Linked DNA regions of Sus scrofa. The protein of the gene in region 1 purifies or fractionates together with the protein of each later gene. This does not show direct contact. Links are inferred from orthologs where the notes say so. Each region holds a gene or a part of one and is shown in the gene's direction. Other genes may lie near its edges.

Region 1 (7,832 bases):
GAGGTGTAGGGGTGGGGGCGTGGTGGTGGGGTGGGTGCAGACTTGACAACCACTGGTTGCATGTCTTTCCAAAGTGAGGACCCTTTTAGGAAAAGACTCACATGATGTATTTGTATGCTTTGCATCTCCTGTATGAGAATACACACTAGAACAAAAAGTTACAATGACTTTTCTTTGAAATGAATGTTTAAAAAGGAATCATCATGGCATCTACATGCATATGAACACTTGCTACGAGTTGCAGGAACAACATTCATTCAGTCTGTCCATAATGTTTGATGCACATGTTCTCCTTTGCAGACCACTTGTAGTTAAGTCGGCGGCGGCGGCAGCAGCAGCAGCAGCGCATGGGTCAAAAAATAAGGGATTAGGTTGATTTTCAGTGCATGAGCCCAGCCTTAGTTTTAATGATTATTTTGCTGGTCTTTCCCGCCTTCCACCTTCTCCCCCCACAATCACACTGTTTCTCTGGGTTACCGCCTAGGCCCCTGCAGTCCCGGAGCTGTGCAAGTGGATAGAAAATCAGTTTTCAAACTGGCAGTGCTTTGAGCAGAAGCTGAAAACCTGATAGTTGGGTTACCACTTGCCCAGAGAAATGAAAGGCCCCATTAGATTACCTTCAGAATGATGCAGTGGAAGTACCATTAGTGTTGGATGCCAAAGTCAACACTAGATCCACCTGCATTAGCATCAAATGGATGCACAAATCTCCAATAAGATAATTTTAGAAAAGGCTATACCTTCTCCTGATCAGTCTGACTAGCAAGATTTGGCTGTCCATGTGATCAGCCAGGAAACTCAGGCAGAATTCCAAAGCTATCCACAGCCATTGAAGAGTGAGAGGCCTGGAAGTTGGACATAAAATTAAAAAAAAAACCCAAAAACAAATGCTGCCAAGTGCTTACCTATCTGATTGAAAACTACTGCAATCAGAGCATAAGTTGACTGACAGGCATTCCAAAGCAGATTCTGAAGTCATAATAAGAGTTCAATTTGTAAGGGGCACACGGTTTAAAACTTTAAGCAAATAATACTAACAAGCAATAGTTATTCATGTTGAAATCTCTTCTACATTTAAATTAATCAGAATGGCAATAAACATCAATGGCTACTGTTGGGAGTGGTGAGGATGCAACTAAGGCCTCAAGTCCAGGGTCAAAGCTTAATTCTTAGGCATGGAGATGGGATTTATAAATCCCACTTTGGTACACAACAAATACTATCCCCATTTTGCCACTAAATGTTTTACTACTATGCATGACTTATTGAAAGTGGAATTTATGAATACCCTATGGCAAGGAGAAATTTTAGGCTGATTGGCAATAGTGTGACAATATCTAGCAAAGAAGTAAGCAAAAGAACAAATGGAGCCTTTTGTCTTTAAATGTAATTAACATATTCTTCCTTATCCTTTTGGAAAGAAAATTCAGAAAAATTTTTTTTGAGTTTCATTTTTTGAAGGCTGACGATATTATGTTTTAATTAAAATTGAATAAACTTCCGTTTGCATACTGATTTAAAAGCCTAGCCAGCAACAGCACATTAAAAGCTGCATTACTTACATCAAATAAATTTTTACTTGATTTTTAGATTCATTATCAAGTTCTCAAATGATCAGTATCCTGAAACTCAAATAATGTTAATACTTCAGTTACCCGAAGCAGAAGAGTAAAGTTCAATAAGCAAAGAAGGTGGATGACCTCCGAAGTGCTAAAACCCTTAGGAAAAAACCGATATTTTCATTTACTTGAAAAAATCTAAAAAAAAAGTTCTGATAAAACCTTATCACTTTGCCAAAATCAATTGCTCCTCACCCCTCCCTCCATTCCACAAATGCTTGTGACCCCAACTTGTAAAGTCTCTCACTTTTTGTGTTCCACTCCAAGTTCCGTGCCTCAAAAGGAGGAAGCAAAAATCCTTTACTTGGATTGAACTCTGAATCAGTCATTTCATCTCTTAGATAATCCTATTTTTCACGGCAAGTTCTGGCCTTTAGGTTGTGTCCCCATTTCTTTTTCTTTCTTTCGTTGTTGCGGGTGGTGTAGGGAGGGAGTCAAAGTCCCTTCAACCGTTTGCTAAAAAATGTGAACAGCACCACTAAGGAGCAGAAACAGAAAATGGGAGGTTTCAAACAGAATAACACGCACTCTCAAACCCCCAGAAAGAATAACAACAAAACAAGCACACAGAAACTTGGGCTGGTCCAGCACATCCGCAAAGGAGGGAGAGGTGCGAGCGCTTCAGAGAAGCCGATGGGCCTCCGCCCTGCCCGCCCGCAGGTGGCTCCTGGCAAGCGCCGCAGACAACAATGGCCAGCATGGGCTTTGCCCGCGTCGCTAGTTTGCTGTGTCTGTCCCTGCCCAGAAAAACGGTCTATCTTGAAAGAATGACCAAACAGAAAGGGAAGCGAAGCGTGCGTTAGGCTGTGAAGAAAGCATTCCCCCTTCAATGCCTAACATCTATCTGATGCCCCATCGCTGTCCAAAGATGAACCTGCCACCGATCAAGTTCCGGCGCAAGTTCTTTTCTTTCCCGCAGCCCCTACACCTGCCGGGCAGTGCTCTGCACATCCCCAGGTTTCCCTCCCGCGGCCCCCCTCGGGCTGCAGCAAAAATGGGGCGCTTCGGTGGGGCGGGGGCGGGCGGCTGCCGCGGATCCCGCCGGCTACCGCCGCAGCTTGGTGGCCTCCGATTGGCCACGACGCGGGCGGGGAAGCTCCGCGGCGGAGGAGGGAGGCGGGGGCGAGGGCGGCGGCAGCGGGAGGGGATCGGAGCGGGGAGCTGGCTGCGCAGCCGGGCAGCGCGCGGGGAGAGCGGTGGCGGCGGCTCACCCTAGTCGCGCTCGCGGAGGCCGAGAGGGGCGCGCGGGCGGCGGCGGGGGGTGGGGGCGGCGCGCGCGAGTGAGCCGAAAGGGGCGAGGACCCGCGGGCGGGTGCCGGCGCGCGGGCAGCAGGGGCGGCCGTAGCGGCAGCTGCGCGGGACGGAGCCGCGGCGGGAGCGGCCGGGCGGGCCCCTGGCCTCACTCCCGCGCGGCAGAGGCCGGAGAATAGTCTCCAACTCTCAGGGGGACCGGAAAGGGGAGCGGAGAAGCGGTCCTTGCCTCCCACGCAGCAGAGGAGCCAGGCGGCGGGACTGCTGCCCTTTGTGGGCGCAGCGCGCGCGGCCCAGAGCGCCCTCCCCGCGGCGCTCTCGCCCGCGTCTTCATCTTGCAGAGCGGCCCTGGAGAAGGGACCCGGAGGAAGCAAAACCCGAGCCCGAAACCTCGCGTTGCGGAGCTCCTGGGGAGCGCCAGCCGCTCCACTTCCACCTCCGCATCCTCCACTGGCCAAGGTCTCCGCCGCCTGCATCCCTCCTGGCTTCCGCTGCGCTTTGGGCCAGAGCAGAGCCGCCTGCGCTGCCACCGCGGCCACACACACACACACACACACACACACACACACGCACTCACGCGCACGCCCGCCTTCTCTCCCGCCCCTCCCCAGCTCCTTGATCTCTAGGTCTGTTTTATTACTCGTGGTGCGAGTCCCGACTCCGCGGCCCGCTATTTGTCATCAGCTCTCTCTCCATTGGCGGGGAGCAGAGAGCGGCGGCGAAGGGGGTGGGGTGGGGAGGGGAAGGGAAGGGGGTGGAAACTGCCTGGAGCCGTCTCTCCGCGCCGCTGTTGGTGCTGCCGCTGCTGCCGCCGACGCCTCCGGCTCCTCGCTCGGCCCCTCTCCGCCTCCATGTGCCGGATACTGGGAGCGCCGCGGACCCTGCTGCCGCTCCTGGCGGCTCTGCTTCAGGTACGCAGCGGTCCCCGCGGGCCGGGCTGCGGGCGGGGTGGGGCAGGCAGCGCCGGGTCCCTTTGTTCCCCGCGCCGCTGCGGGGCCGGGCTGCGCACCCGGGAAGGGAGGTGCCGCACCGCGCGGACGGTTGCTGCGCAGACACGAGGCTTGGGCCGTGCGCAGGGACAGGGCTGCTGGGGCCAACCAGTCTCCCGCGCCACTCTTGGCGGGTCGCAAAGAGGCTAATCCGGGGCCCCCTCTGCTCCTCCAGCGGGGTCGGGCGAGCTCGCGGCGGGTGTTTCTAGGCAGTAGAAGACTGAGGTAGGATAGGGCTCTGGTTTTGCAGTTTCCTAAGCTTCTCGCCCCTCGCCTTGCACTTTGCTCCAATTTTTTTGTTTATTTCTGCAGGGATAGGTCGCGAGTTTGCAGAAAGAATTCTCACTCTGATGTCTTAGTTACGGGACTTGCCTCTACCTACCCCACCCTGGTACCCGCGCGCCTCCCGGTGCCCGAGGGCTCCTCTGTCCTATTGTCTTTACCCCCAGCCCAGAGTTGCTTCCTATTTTTGTTTTTCTGCCTTATCAGTTTTCTGTTTCGCTCTTACCTGGAAAGAAAACCTCGCCCCTTTGCCCCAAAAGTCTGCTCGGGTCGGCGACTCCGCATCCAGCCCCTGGGCCCCGCAGGTCCCTTATCCTGCCGCGCGGGGAGAAGTTCCGTTACTCGGCTATTATTCTTTTTCTGTCCCGCTGCCTCTGCCCTGAGTGCGTCTTGGGGGCGCCTTTACCGGGAGACTGCACTTTTCACGCCTTGGGGAGAGTGCCAGACAGCTTTCCCCTGGAAATGGTACTGGGAGTCTCCTCCGCAGCAGGAAGCACCTGCTCCAGGCAGGTCACAGGCTCCTTTCCCACTTCGCGCCTCCGGTCCCCAGCCCGGCCTAGCTCCCAACTTTCCCGCGGCGTCCGGTCGGAGGATGCCGCGAGGCCCCTGCCTGCTCGCCAGACAGGTAGCGGGGAACTGAGCCGTGCGCCGCGGCCGCTACCCCCGCGCTGGGCGGAGACCGGCCAGGGGTCCAGAGTCTGCCCCCGAGGGTGGTGAGGTCCCCAAGCGGCTGCGGGCGAGGGGCGGGTCCGCCCTCCACTAGCCCGCAGAGTCTCCGGGGAAATCCTTTCAAGTGACCCCCAGCGCACCGCCGGCGGCTGGGGGTGTCCGGCTGACGGTCGCTCCAAAAAGCGCGGGCGCGGCTGGGATGTGCCGATGCGCCCGGGGCGACCGGGAAAGGAACAGATGGTACGGATCGCTCCCCTCCATGGTCTTCACGGGTCAGGGCCTGGCGCGCTCCGGCCGCGGGCGCCGGGGGCGGGACGGGACCGGCGCCCGCGGTCTCTCGCGCTCCCTCCCGCTGCCCCCTAGAGGGGTGTGGGCCGTGGCGGTGCCGAGCCCTGTCCATGGTGCGCGGAGGAGCCGTCCCGGCTCCGTGCTCTCCTCCCCCGGGTCGTGCTCGCCCACTTTCGGGCTCCCTCCCTCCCACTGGCTCTCGGGCCGCCTGGGTCCCGTCGTTCCTTTCTCCTTTCTTGGGTTTCTCCTTTTGTTCTTTCGTCTCCTGCTGGTCGTTCCCTCTCCCCTTCCCCCACTCGCCATTCCGCCCCCACCTCGATTCTCTTCTGACTCTGGGGTTTCAGAACTAGTAGACTAGACATTTTTTGGCCTCTGCACTTTTGGGGAGTGGATGGAATTTTTTCTAACTTGGGGGAGGAGACCTGCCAGTCACTTGCTAACAAAAGTACCTCCTGTTATAAAACCACCCTTTATTCTTGGAGTGCACACTCCTCATTCTTTCACCTCCTGTCACTTCATTTATTGTTTCTTCTTTGAAAATGGGGTTTATTGACGGAGTTAGGCTGAAAGGGAAGAAGAAAAAAAGCGCTACTTCAAATGTTTAAAGTTAAGGGGAAAGCAAGATAAATTTAAGAACTTCGGATTTTTTTTTTTAAACCTGTATCATACATAGATTTAGAAAAATCTTTAAAAACCATGTTTTGGATATCATGGAGTGGTCTTACTTATTTAAAGATGACATAAAATCCCAAGAGTGTGAGTGAAGTGGTGGTATGCACACTAACTTTTTGATCTGAAAGTGAGTTTTAATTGAATACTTCGCAGTGAAGTTAGGACTGTTACCACAAATAACATGGGACTTAAGTGTGGTGCCACGGGAGCAGTCTCCTGTCCTCTTTGAGTCCTCTGCCTAGAGGCCAGGTGCGGAATTTTTAGGTCATATTCTTTTTTGTTTCCTTAAGCATTAAAAAAGTATTATATTGAAAAGCCAAACAATGGGCTTGCCCTTTCCCCTTGTACGTTCTTTCTCAGTTTCTTCCAGGCCAACGTCATGTTGATTTTTCTAAAACCTTGAGGAATGGAGAGATTAAAACTTTGTCATCGAGTTGTTTGGCAGACTTTTAATTCCTGGTGCAAGTCAAGCAATAACACTGAGTGATTTGCAAGGTCATTAGAAGTGGAAGCAGAGTTTATGCAACATCAGTTTTTGGGTTGTTTTAGGGTTAAGTGCACCATGTGGATTGTACACACTGAGGTTGGAAATGACTTTGTCCTAATGGTCTGCTTTACACACCAGAATAACCAGATCTATCTGCAAGGTGAATATGGCCCCTCTGCAGTCATCTGCTGTTAAAAATCTAATTCCCCCCGCCCCGACTCAGGCCAATCTAAGGACTCAAGAGTTTTAGAACAGCAGATGAGTAGGTTATTAGTGTAAATACCAACTGCCTTATTTTTTCAGACCAATTGAAGAATAATTGAATATTCAAAAGGACGCCAGGCCTTTAATTAACTAAAGTATTCTTTGTTTTACTTTGAACACTTCCTTTTTTTCACTTTGAGAGATTCTTTACTAGTTGAGGTATTCTCTTACCTAGATTTACATAATTCGAGTCAATTTTGCATATCATCGTATTCAGCTTTAAGGTTTTCTCTATTTTCCTCCGTATTTTAGCCTGAGGCATTAGTATTGTCCTATTAAAAAAAAAGCAGAACTTGAGCATTAAACTTCACTGATCAAGGGATATCAGAAAGTTATGACAAGCTTTCCTTTTAAACTGTACAAGTGACTTTTAAATGCTTAGATTTATCAGCAGAAAAAAAATCAATTTTACTTTTACCACCCATCCAGTAATTAATAGATTAGAACCTGCTTTGTTTTTCTAGTTCACATTTTAATTGCATAGCTCCATTGTTCTAATTTAAATACACTGTGTGAATTATAAAGCATCAAGGACATCACCTTTGTGTTCACAGGTATTCTAGATTATTAGTCTTATCACATAGGTCCTGCTTTCAATCCTGGATGAGGACTTATGAAAAAAAATGCACAAACCATAGGCGCTTTTCACCTATTAGGTAAAGACTTTGAGAATGGTAATATTTAATACATGAAACTTTAAAAAAACCAAAAAGCTCTGTTTTAGAATGGATAATCTAGGACACAATGATCATTTTAAGTAAAAAACATATATGTATTCTCCATGTTTATTTGATTGGCATGTCTTGGTAATAAGTTCCTGTAAAAGTAAGGAAAATTAGCATAGTTGGTGTTCATAGTTTATTCTACTTATGCATATCTTTGCCCTTTTAAAATTTGTGGCATGTGGCCTTTACTATGATGTGGTGAATTGCAAATGTACTAGGTGCAATTTGAAAAATAATTTGTGTATCTTAAACTATTATTATAAACATATTTTAAATGATATATATATACACACACAAAATTACACACACGCACACGCATATTCTTAGGCCTTAATTGCAAGTTCGGAATTTCCTTACAGAGTATGTTTTGACTTTCATACCTTCATCAAAGTCCGCCCTGACCTTCTTCTAAAAGTTTGGACTGAGATTTTAAGAGGGAATTCTTTTTTGATAGTTTGTATTTTTTAATGTAGAGTCTCATTTCTTTTTGGAACAGATTACTTTGGTGACAGTATTGTACCAAACTGTCCTCAATTTCCGTTTTCATTAAAAATCTTCAGTTCTTAAATCTATTGTGCCTCATTAA
Region 2 (7,337 bases), on another chromosome or scaffold:
GGGAAGCGGGTCGGCTTGTGGGGAGCCTCACCCTGTGACTCTGAGTGGTTCGCAGCTCGCTGAGGCTCGGCTGCTGGTGTCGATGGTTTAGCGGAGGTGGCCTGGCATGTGGAAGCTGTTTCTTGCGTCCTCAGTGCTGTGCCGGAGCATGAGGACCGCAGCGGCCCCGGCCAGCCTGGCGAGATAGAAGCTGGGAGGGCCCGGAGCAAGGACAAGGCTGGTCGGCAGCATCCCAGGTCAGGTCTCCCTCGCTGTCCTGCTTAATTCAGGAATCCTCCTTCCAGCCCCAGCGCTCTCAGTGTCCCCAGGTCCGGGCCTGACCTCAACCTCCCCTGCCTGGTCTTGGCTGGTCCTTGTCACCGCCGGTACCTTCATCCTCCCCGTGTCTGTCAGGATGCCCCCCGGTCACCTCCCTCCCTCCCTCCCTCCGGCACTGTGCATCCCGCATCCTCGGCGTCATCCCAGTGTGCAGTGGGTTGGCCCTCCCCACTTGCACCCCTCCCTCTGCCCCTCAAGTCCTGCCTCAGGCCTTTTCAGCTCGCAGGCTGTGGTTCGTCCGTGGTCTCTCCTCTGACCCCTTACTTCCTCTTACTTGCCGTGCAAAATGCAGCCCTAATGGGGCCTGGCGCACACAAGTGCAGCTATCTTGAGCGGGGCCGCCGCACCCGGCATTGCCAGGGGGCCCTGGGTGCCCAGGGCAGCGGCCTGCTGGCACTTGCCCACCTGTGCCCCAGCCTCCCTGGCCAGCTGTGGGGCCCTCTCACTAGGGCTGCTGAGCAGTGTGCACGTCTGCTCCTGCCACGCCTGTGCCCATGTCCCCTGCCTCCTCCCCTCACCGTGGATGTCCCCGTGCTGGCAGCGGCCATCCTCAGCCCATTTCCTCCAGCCCCTTCCTCCGGGGCGCGCGCGCACACACACACACACACACACACACACACACGCCACCGTTTCTGCGACTGTGAGAAACCTGGCCACCCTCCTGCTGTCTCTTTGCCAGGACCCCTTGTCACTTGTCGTCTCAGCATCTGACTGTGCTCGTTCCCTTGGTGCATAAAGGCGGGAGAGACCAGCAAGCGGTCGACTCTGCTGTGCCCCTGGTTCACCTGCCACCCTGCCCGCCCACCCCACCCCGCTTCACGCATCAGACCAAGCTCCTGTCTCGCCACCCAGGCTGCTCACAGCACCTGCTGGCAGCTCTGTCTTCCACTTGCTCAGCCCCAACCTTGGCTTCACCTTTGATTCTGCTTTTTGCCTCATACCCTGAATCTCATCTCTCTGCAAGTCTTACTGGGTCTACCTCACCGTCAATAGAGACTCGAGACACTATTCCTGCCCTGCTCCAGGCCGCCGGCATCTCTCCCTGGCTTCATGCAGTTGCTTCTCAGCCAGGCTCCACATCCGCAGCCCTGGGTCGGGCAGTCTCCCCCGCCGCCAAGCACCCAGAATGCTCAGTCCTCTCCGACGGCTGCCTGTCCCTTCGTCCTTACCCCGGCCCTCCGTCCTTACCCTGGCCCACGAGGCCTGCCAGGAGCGGAGCCTGTCACCTCTGTCCCTCACCTCCCGCTATGCCTTCCTGGGATCCCAGGGCTCCAGCTGACCCTGCCACGCGAGGGCCGTGAACGGCCTTTGCTGTCGTCCACTTCCCCGGCAGACCCGGCTCCAGGCTTCGTGTGGGTGACCCCCTCCTGTGCTCCCACCTTCACCGTCTTCAAGTCTGGGGCCAGCGTCTCCATCTCACTCAACCTTTCCTGAGCACCCGTATAAAACGACGGTCTTCCTGCTGCTTGATCGCGCTGATCACTTGCCTTGATGTCTTGCAATTCCCCTTATTGCGTTGGTCATGTCTCCCATTGGAATACATGTGAGAGCAGGGGGTTTTGTCTGTTCTATTTTGTACCTCCACGGCCCAGAAGAGTGGCTGGCAGACACGTAATCAGTGAATGAAGAGGAGATGTTTGGTTTTCGTGGGTCTGTGACGGGCCGTCCAGAAAGGTGGGGAGGTGGAGCTTGTGTTAGGAGGCTCCCCTTGGAGCACTCAGAGGCTGAAGGTGTCGGGGACCCCGGATTAAAGTGGCCAAGGGCAGGAGTTCCCTGGTGGCCTAGTGCTTAAGGGTTCAGCACTGTCACAGCTGTAGTAGAGGTTCAATCCTTGGCCCAGGCTGTGGGTACAAAAAAAAAAAAATTTAAATGGCCCATGGCAACACAACTCCAGGCTCTGGCATCCACACTGGTGCCTCGCAAGACCCCCACTGTCCTCCCCTTCAGTGAGGGAGGGACAAACCCAGCATACCCCTGGCGGTTTCAGAGCTTCCTCCCACGGCTTCTCGTTTGAGCCTCACAGCGAGGCCTGGGCTGGGCTTGGACTGGGTCCTGGTGCAGATGAGGGACTCGCCTCGCTGCCCTCCTGTCACAGGCCGGCCGGCTGGGCCAAGAGCCAGCCCCAGCTGTTCTGCCTGCTGCCCTGCGGCTGATAACTTCCAGAAGATGACATTATGTTTCAAGTCAGCAGCTAATCAGGAGCGGCTGGAGGATGCACAACATGCGAATTTTATTTCACAGTTAAAGCAGAGGTAGGGCCGGCCGTCAGTCCCCTTGGTGTTTCCTCGGGCCGTAGCCGCCAGGTTCGCTCTGGGCCTTAGATAAAGTCAGTGCGTGAAAATACATTGTCTATTTTTACCCCTCAAAGCAGCATTTGCTACCCTGTAAGAAGGCCCACTATTAGTTCATTTAGTTTTCTTTTTTATCGTAAAGTGGGAAAGTTAGAATAAGGGTCTGCTTAATGCTGTAGGAAACACTTGTGTTTTACTCCAGTAGCTTTTCCACCCAGGACGCGTCTCACCTTTGTCTTAAGGTGCAGGCCTTGGCGAAGTCCATTTCGAACCGCAAAGCTTTGTCAAGCAGAGTCTGGACGCCCTGGCAGCACTTGCAGCCCTCACTGCGGTAAAGGACCCCTGGGTCCTTTGGGAAGCGGCGGCCTGGTGCCGTTGCTGCTGCTCGTTGAAGGGGCCGCCTGGCTCGTGGTCAGTGAGGCAGGCTCTCAGACGAACACTGAGCCGTTTTAACGTGATGTTCCTCCGCCGTGGAATCCTGCAGGAAATCCTGGCTCTCCGTCTGTTGGGCCCTGGGGCTGTGGACCCAGAGGCTCGGGGCGGCTGGAGGCCCAGGCTTGTGCTTCACTGTGTTTTCTGTCTGGTGGCAGACCCCTGAGGAGCTGGACGACTCGGACTTCGAGACGGAAGACTTCGATGTCCGCAGCAGGACCAGTGTCCAGACAGAGGACGACCAGCTGATCGCCGGCCAGAGTGCCCGGGTGAGGCCCCGCTTCGCCTCGGCCTGCAGACCTTCCCACTCCTCTCGCGTCTGGCCTTTTTTTTTCTAGGAAACTCACTGTCGAGAACATAGTTCTTGTCCTCTGTGGTTAACCTGGGGGTTCCTCCGAAATGTTTCCCCAGCTGGAAGCAGGGCAGGAGCATATGGGCCTCCTCGCGGTGCCCTGGGCTTTGGTGTACGAGGGGCCCTGGGTCCCGAAAGCCCCGGGATCTGGTCAATGCAGCGTTTGTTAAAAAAGTCGAAAAAAGGTGGCTCTCTTTGCCTATCTCAGTGATACCACGGGCATGAACTATTTAATTATTCATGGGTGAAAAACAACACAGTAGCGCATTCACGAAATCCAGCGCCACTGCGTTCACTTAAGTCATTACGTCTTCAATCAGTTGCATTTATGTTTTTGGGAGGATGCCAAGAAATATTTCTAAGGAGTCTTTTTTCACCCTTTAGAAATCATTCTGGAAAAGCGGTACCTCCCTGCCTTAAGCCCCCACCCCGCCCCGGTCCTGAGCATTCGGGAAGCGGACTGGAGAGGGAGGAACACAGGGCCTGAGGCTGGGGCTGCGCAGCCGGCCTCCGGGTGCTGCTGCCATGAGCTCTAGGTGGCCTCTCACGTCCCTAAAATGCTCCCTCGGCAGCAGCTTCTCTTGTGCCCACTTTCCTTCTGTAAAGTGTACGTTCCAAAACTACTTCCAGGTCACCTTGAAAAGCTGGAGGTGGACTGGGCCACAGGAAGGGCCCTTCAGGGCCTGCCAGGGACACGAGTCCTCGTCTTCTCCCCACGACAGGAGGCAGGGTGACACTTCTAAAGCATTAAGCAAAGCAGGTTGTGTCCCTGTGCAGGTTGATGGTGAGGCTCGGCCTGGGCCTTCTGCCCTCATCCCTGTCTTGATCCACGCTACAGCTCGGTCTTCAAAGGGGGTCGGCAATTCAGGCTGCTCTAAACTTCTGCACAAAATGAGAAGAAATGGCCCTTTGAGCAAAATGAAAGCTATTACAGCATTATCCTACCTGTGTCATAGATCGCTTGGTGGAAATATTCTTGCCTAATGCACTGTGGGAACTTCATCTTCTCTTTATGTAAGAGCTTTCTGTGCTTCTGATTTTAGGCGATCATGGCTCAGCTTCCCCAGGAGCAAAAAGCGAAGATCGCGGAACAGGTGGCCAGCTTCCAGGAAGAAAAGAGCAAGCTGGACGCCGAAGTGTCCAAGTGGGACGACAGCGGTAACGACATCATCGTGCTGGCCAAGCAGATGTGCATGATCATGATGGAGATGACGGACTTCACCCGGTGAGCCCAGCAGCCCAGCCCCCCCTTCCCCCCCCCCCCCCACGGGGCGGGGGCTTCGGGTGCTACAGCCCTCCTTGTCCGCTTGCTCCAGAGGTAAAGGACCGCTCAAAAACACATCCGACGTGATCAGCGCCGCCAAGAAGATTGCCGAGGCAGGATCCCGGATGGATAAGCTCGGCCGTACCATCGCAGACCACGTGAGTGACGGGCTGGCCCGTGGGCCTCCGGGTTCATCCTGGGGCTCAGGCAGCCCAGTGGGGGTAACAGTGTTTTCTCATGAAGCACTGCTCCTAACCTGCCACCCAGCTCGGTTCTGTATCAGCGTCGTTGTAAGGATTTCTCAATTCCTCTTCCTCCTCCGACTCGTCTTATAAGGCAGGCCCAGTTTGCGTTAAAGCTCATCTGGAGCAGGTGCCTGGGCCCCGCAGTCCTTGGTGGACACGACTGCTCAGACCACCCTCTGCTGGTGTTTATGGCTCTCATTTGGCTTCAGGAGACACTCTGGGCAGGTCCTAATAATACACTGAAACCAGGTGTAGGAGAGCCTCTGTGGCTTTGTGTCACGTAAAAATCAGGAGCCCTTTTGGCTGGTGCTTTGGAAGGCTGATGTGCCCACCTGGGGACAGATGTCTCCGTGCTCAGCCACCCAGCCTTGGCCCCTTCATTCTTCAGAGCAGCATGTTCCTCTGTCCTGGAGAGGCCACCGTACATTCCCCTCATGCTTCCAATGTGGTCAGAGACGCTGTGGCTCAGCTCAGCTTGCAGTACAGCGGGTCCTCCACTGCCCTCTTTGTTCTAATAATCCAGTACTGAGCCCCCGCTTCCCCTGGCCACACGGAGTCACGGGGCACCCCCCTCCTCGCCCCATCTCCACTCGGGGGCCAGCGCCGTCTTTCTGCGCAATCATTGAATGAGCTGTGGCGCTGCCCTGCTCAGAATCAAGTCCTCGCTCTCCCGCAGGGGCTGCAGGCTTAATTGAACCACTCTCGCCCTCCCTGCTCCCCAGCCTCCCAGGAGGGGGTGCACCCCTCCTTCTGTGGGGGGCCCTCCTAAGCTGGCCCTGAGCTCTGGTAGCAAGACAGCGCTTTCCCGGGACGGGGCAGGCCCTCCCGGCCCCCACGTGCTGTGTGCTCTGAGCCACTCACATTCTCTGTCGTGGCCTGAAGTGACTCTCGTGTCATTAGGTGGCTACAGTGGGGGTCATTGAGGAGCTGCGGGGACGGTCTCAGGCAGCCCCAGGGCGCTGCCTTTTCTCCAGAAGCAGCCTTGCTGAGGGTAGCCCCGGCAGTCACGGCCCTGGGTCCTGGGGTGACTCCTGGCTCTGGCCCTCTGTTCCAGCCAGGAGCACGCGGGGCCTCTGAGAAATAGCCGGCGGGGTGGGGGGGGGGGGGGGCCGGGGGCCTGGTGCTGAGCCCGCTCTCCCGCAGTGCCCGGACTCGGCCTGTAAGCAGGACCTGCTGGCCTACCTGCAGCGCATCGCCCTCTACTGCCACCAGCTCAACATCTGCAGCAAAGTCAAGGCCGAGGTGCAGAACCTGGGCGGGGAGCTGGTCGTCTCCGGGGTAAGTTCCATCTGGGAAGAGTCATGCGTGGGCCCTGCCGGCGAGTTTCCTCTCGGTCCTCGGAGGCCAAGGGCTGCTCCGGGCCGCTCCCTGCAGAACCGCAGCTCTGCTGAGCGCGGCCTGTGCGGGCCGCTCCCTGGGAGAAAGTGCTTGTAGCTTCCTCACTTTTCTTCCCTCCGAGAGAAATGGAACCCTTTGAGAAATTGCCGAGGTCACGCAGATAGGTTTCCTCGAACCTTCCCCATCCTCCAGGTGTGCCGGTAGCGTCTCCTCCTGGGTCTGTCTACCGCGTCACAGGTCTGGACCCCTTGTCACCTTGGGCAGGAGAAACGCCTCCCTCCACTGATTCCCTGTGGCTTCTGCTAAGGACCCCACGGCGTTGCCTTTCACACGTACTCAGCACGTGTGCACCTGCTACAACTGAGATGCCCCGTCCCTGGGGAGCAGTAAGGCAGAGGCTCTGAGCGGGGACACCCCCGGGCCCTGACCGTGGGCTTTCTGTCGCGAGGCAGGGCTGTTGCCGGTGCTTGCGGTTCCAGTGCTGCCGCCGCCACCCCCGCGCCTGCAGCAGAGCCCGCGCCCCCAGGGAATCATGCGGTTGAGGGGGCAGTGAGCTAACGGTCCGCGAGCTTTTCTCAGGCCTCCCCCCGCTCGCCAGCCGCAGCACAGGCACCTGCGGGCGTCGGGTCCCAGCAGCAGCGGGGGGCGCTGCGGCCGGGCCCCGGGCCGCCCGCGCTCACGGCTCCTCCCTGCTGTGCCCTCTAGGTGGACAGCGCCATGTCCCTGATCCAGGCCGCCAAGAACCTGATGAACGCCGTGGTGCAGACGGTGAAGGCCTCCTACGTGGCCTCCACCAAGTACCAGAAGTCCCAGGGCATGGCCTCCCTCAACCTCCCCGCCGTGTCCTGGAAGATGAAGGCGCCTGAGAAGAAGCCCTTGGTGAAGAGAGAGAAGCAGGACGAGACCCAGACCAAGATTAAGAGGGCCTCGCAGAAGAAGCACGTGAACCCCGTGCAGGCCCTCAGCGAGTTCAAAGCCATGGACAGCATCTGAGGCCAGCGGCTGCGGGCGGCCCCCTGCTCTGGGCGTCCCGGGGACGCAGGCAGGCGGCTGAATGTTGGGGACAGGGACAGTCTTGTGTTTAAGTTGATCAGAAG

The links. The genes of interacting proteins can lie anywhere in the genome.
Region 2: the proteins of CDH2 (region 1) and CTNNA1 purify together in Homo sapiens (affinity purification with mass spectrometry; 4 studies listed by BioGRID and IntAct, with this or other methods). This does not show direct contact. The link is inferred for Sus scrofa from reciprocal best matches to the Homo sapiens genes CDH2 and CTNNA1.

The regions. Positions count from the first base shown.
Region 1 is NC_010448.4:112,624,012-112,631,843, reverse strand, and holds the start of CDH2 (cadherin-2), read left to right. Parts: upstream 1-2,770; 5' UTR 2,771-3,721; coding exon 3,722-3,781; intron 3,782-7,832. UniProt on the Homo sapiens protein: Calcium-dependent cell adhesion protein; preferentially mediates homotypic cell-cell adhesion by dimerization with a CDH2 chain from another cell. Cadherins may thus contribute to the sorting of heterogeneous cell types.
Region 2 is NC_010444.4:140,861,775-140,869,111, forward strand, and holds part of CTNNA1 (catenin alpha-1), read left to right. Parts: intron 1-3,199; coding exon 3,200-3,310; intron 3,311-4,436; coding exon 4,437-4,618; intron 4,619-4,709; coding exon 4,710-4,815; intron 4,816-6,045; coding exon 6,046-6,180; intron 6,181-6,945; coding exon 6,946-7,233; 3' UTR 7,234-7,337. UniProt on the Homo sapiens protein: Associates with the cytoplasmic domain of a variety of cadherins. The association of catenins to cadherins produces a complex which is linked to the actin filament network, and which seems to be of primary importance for cadherins cell-adhesion properties.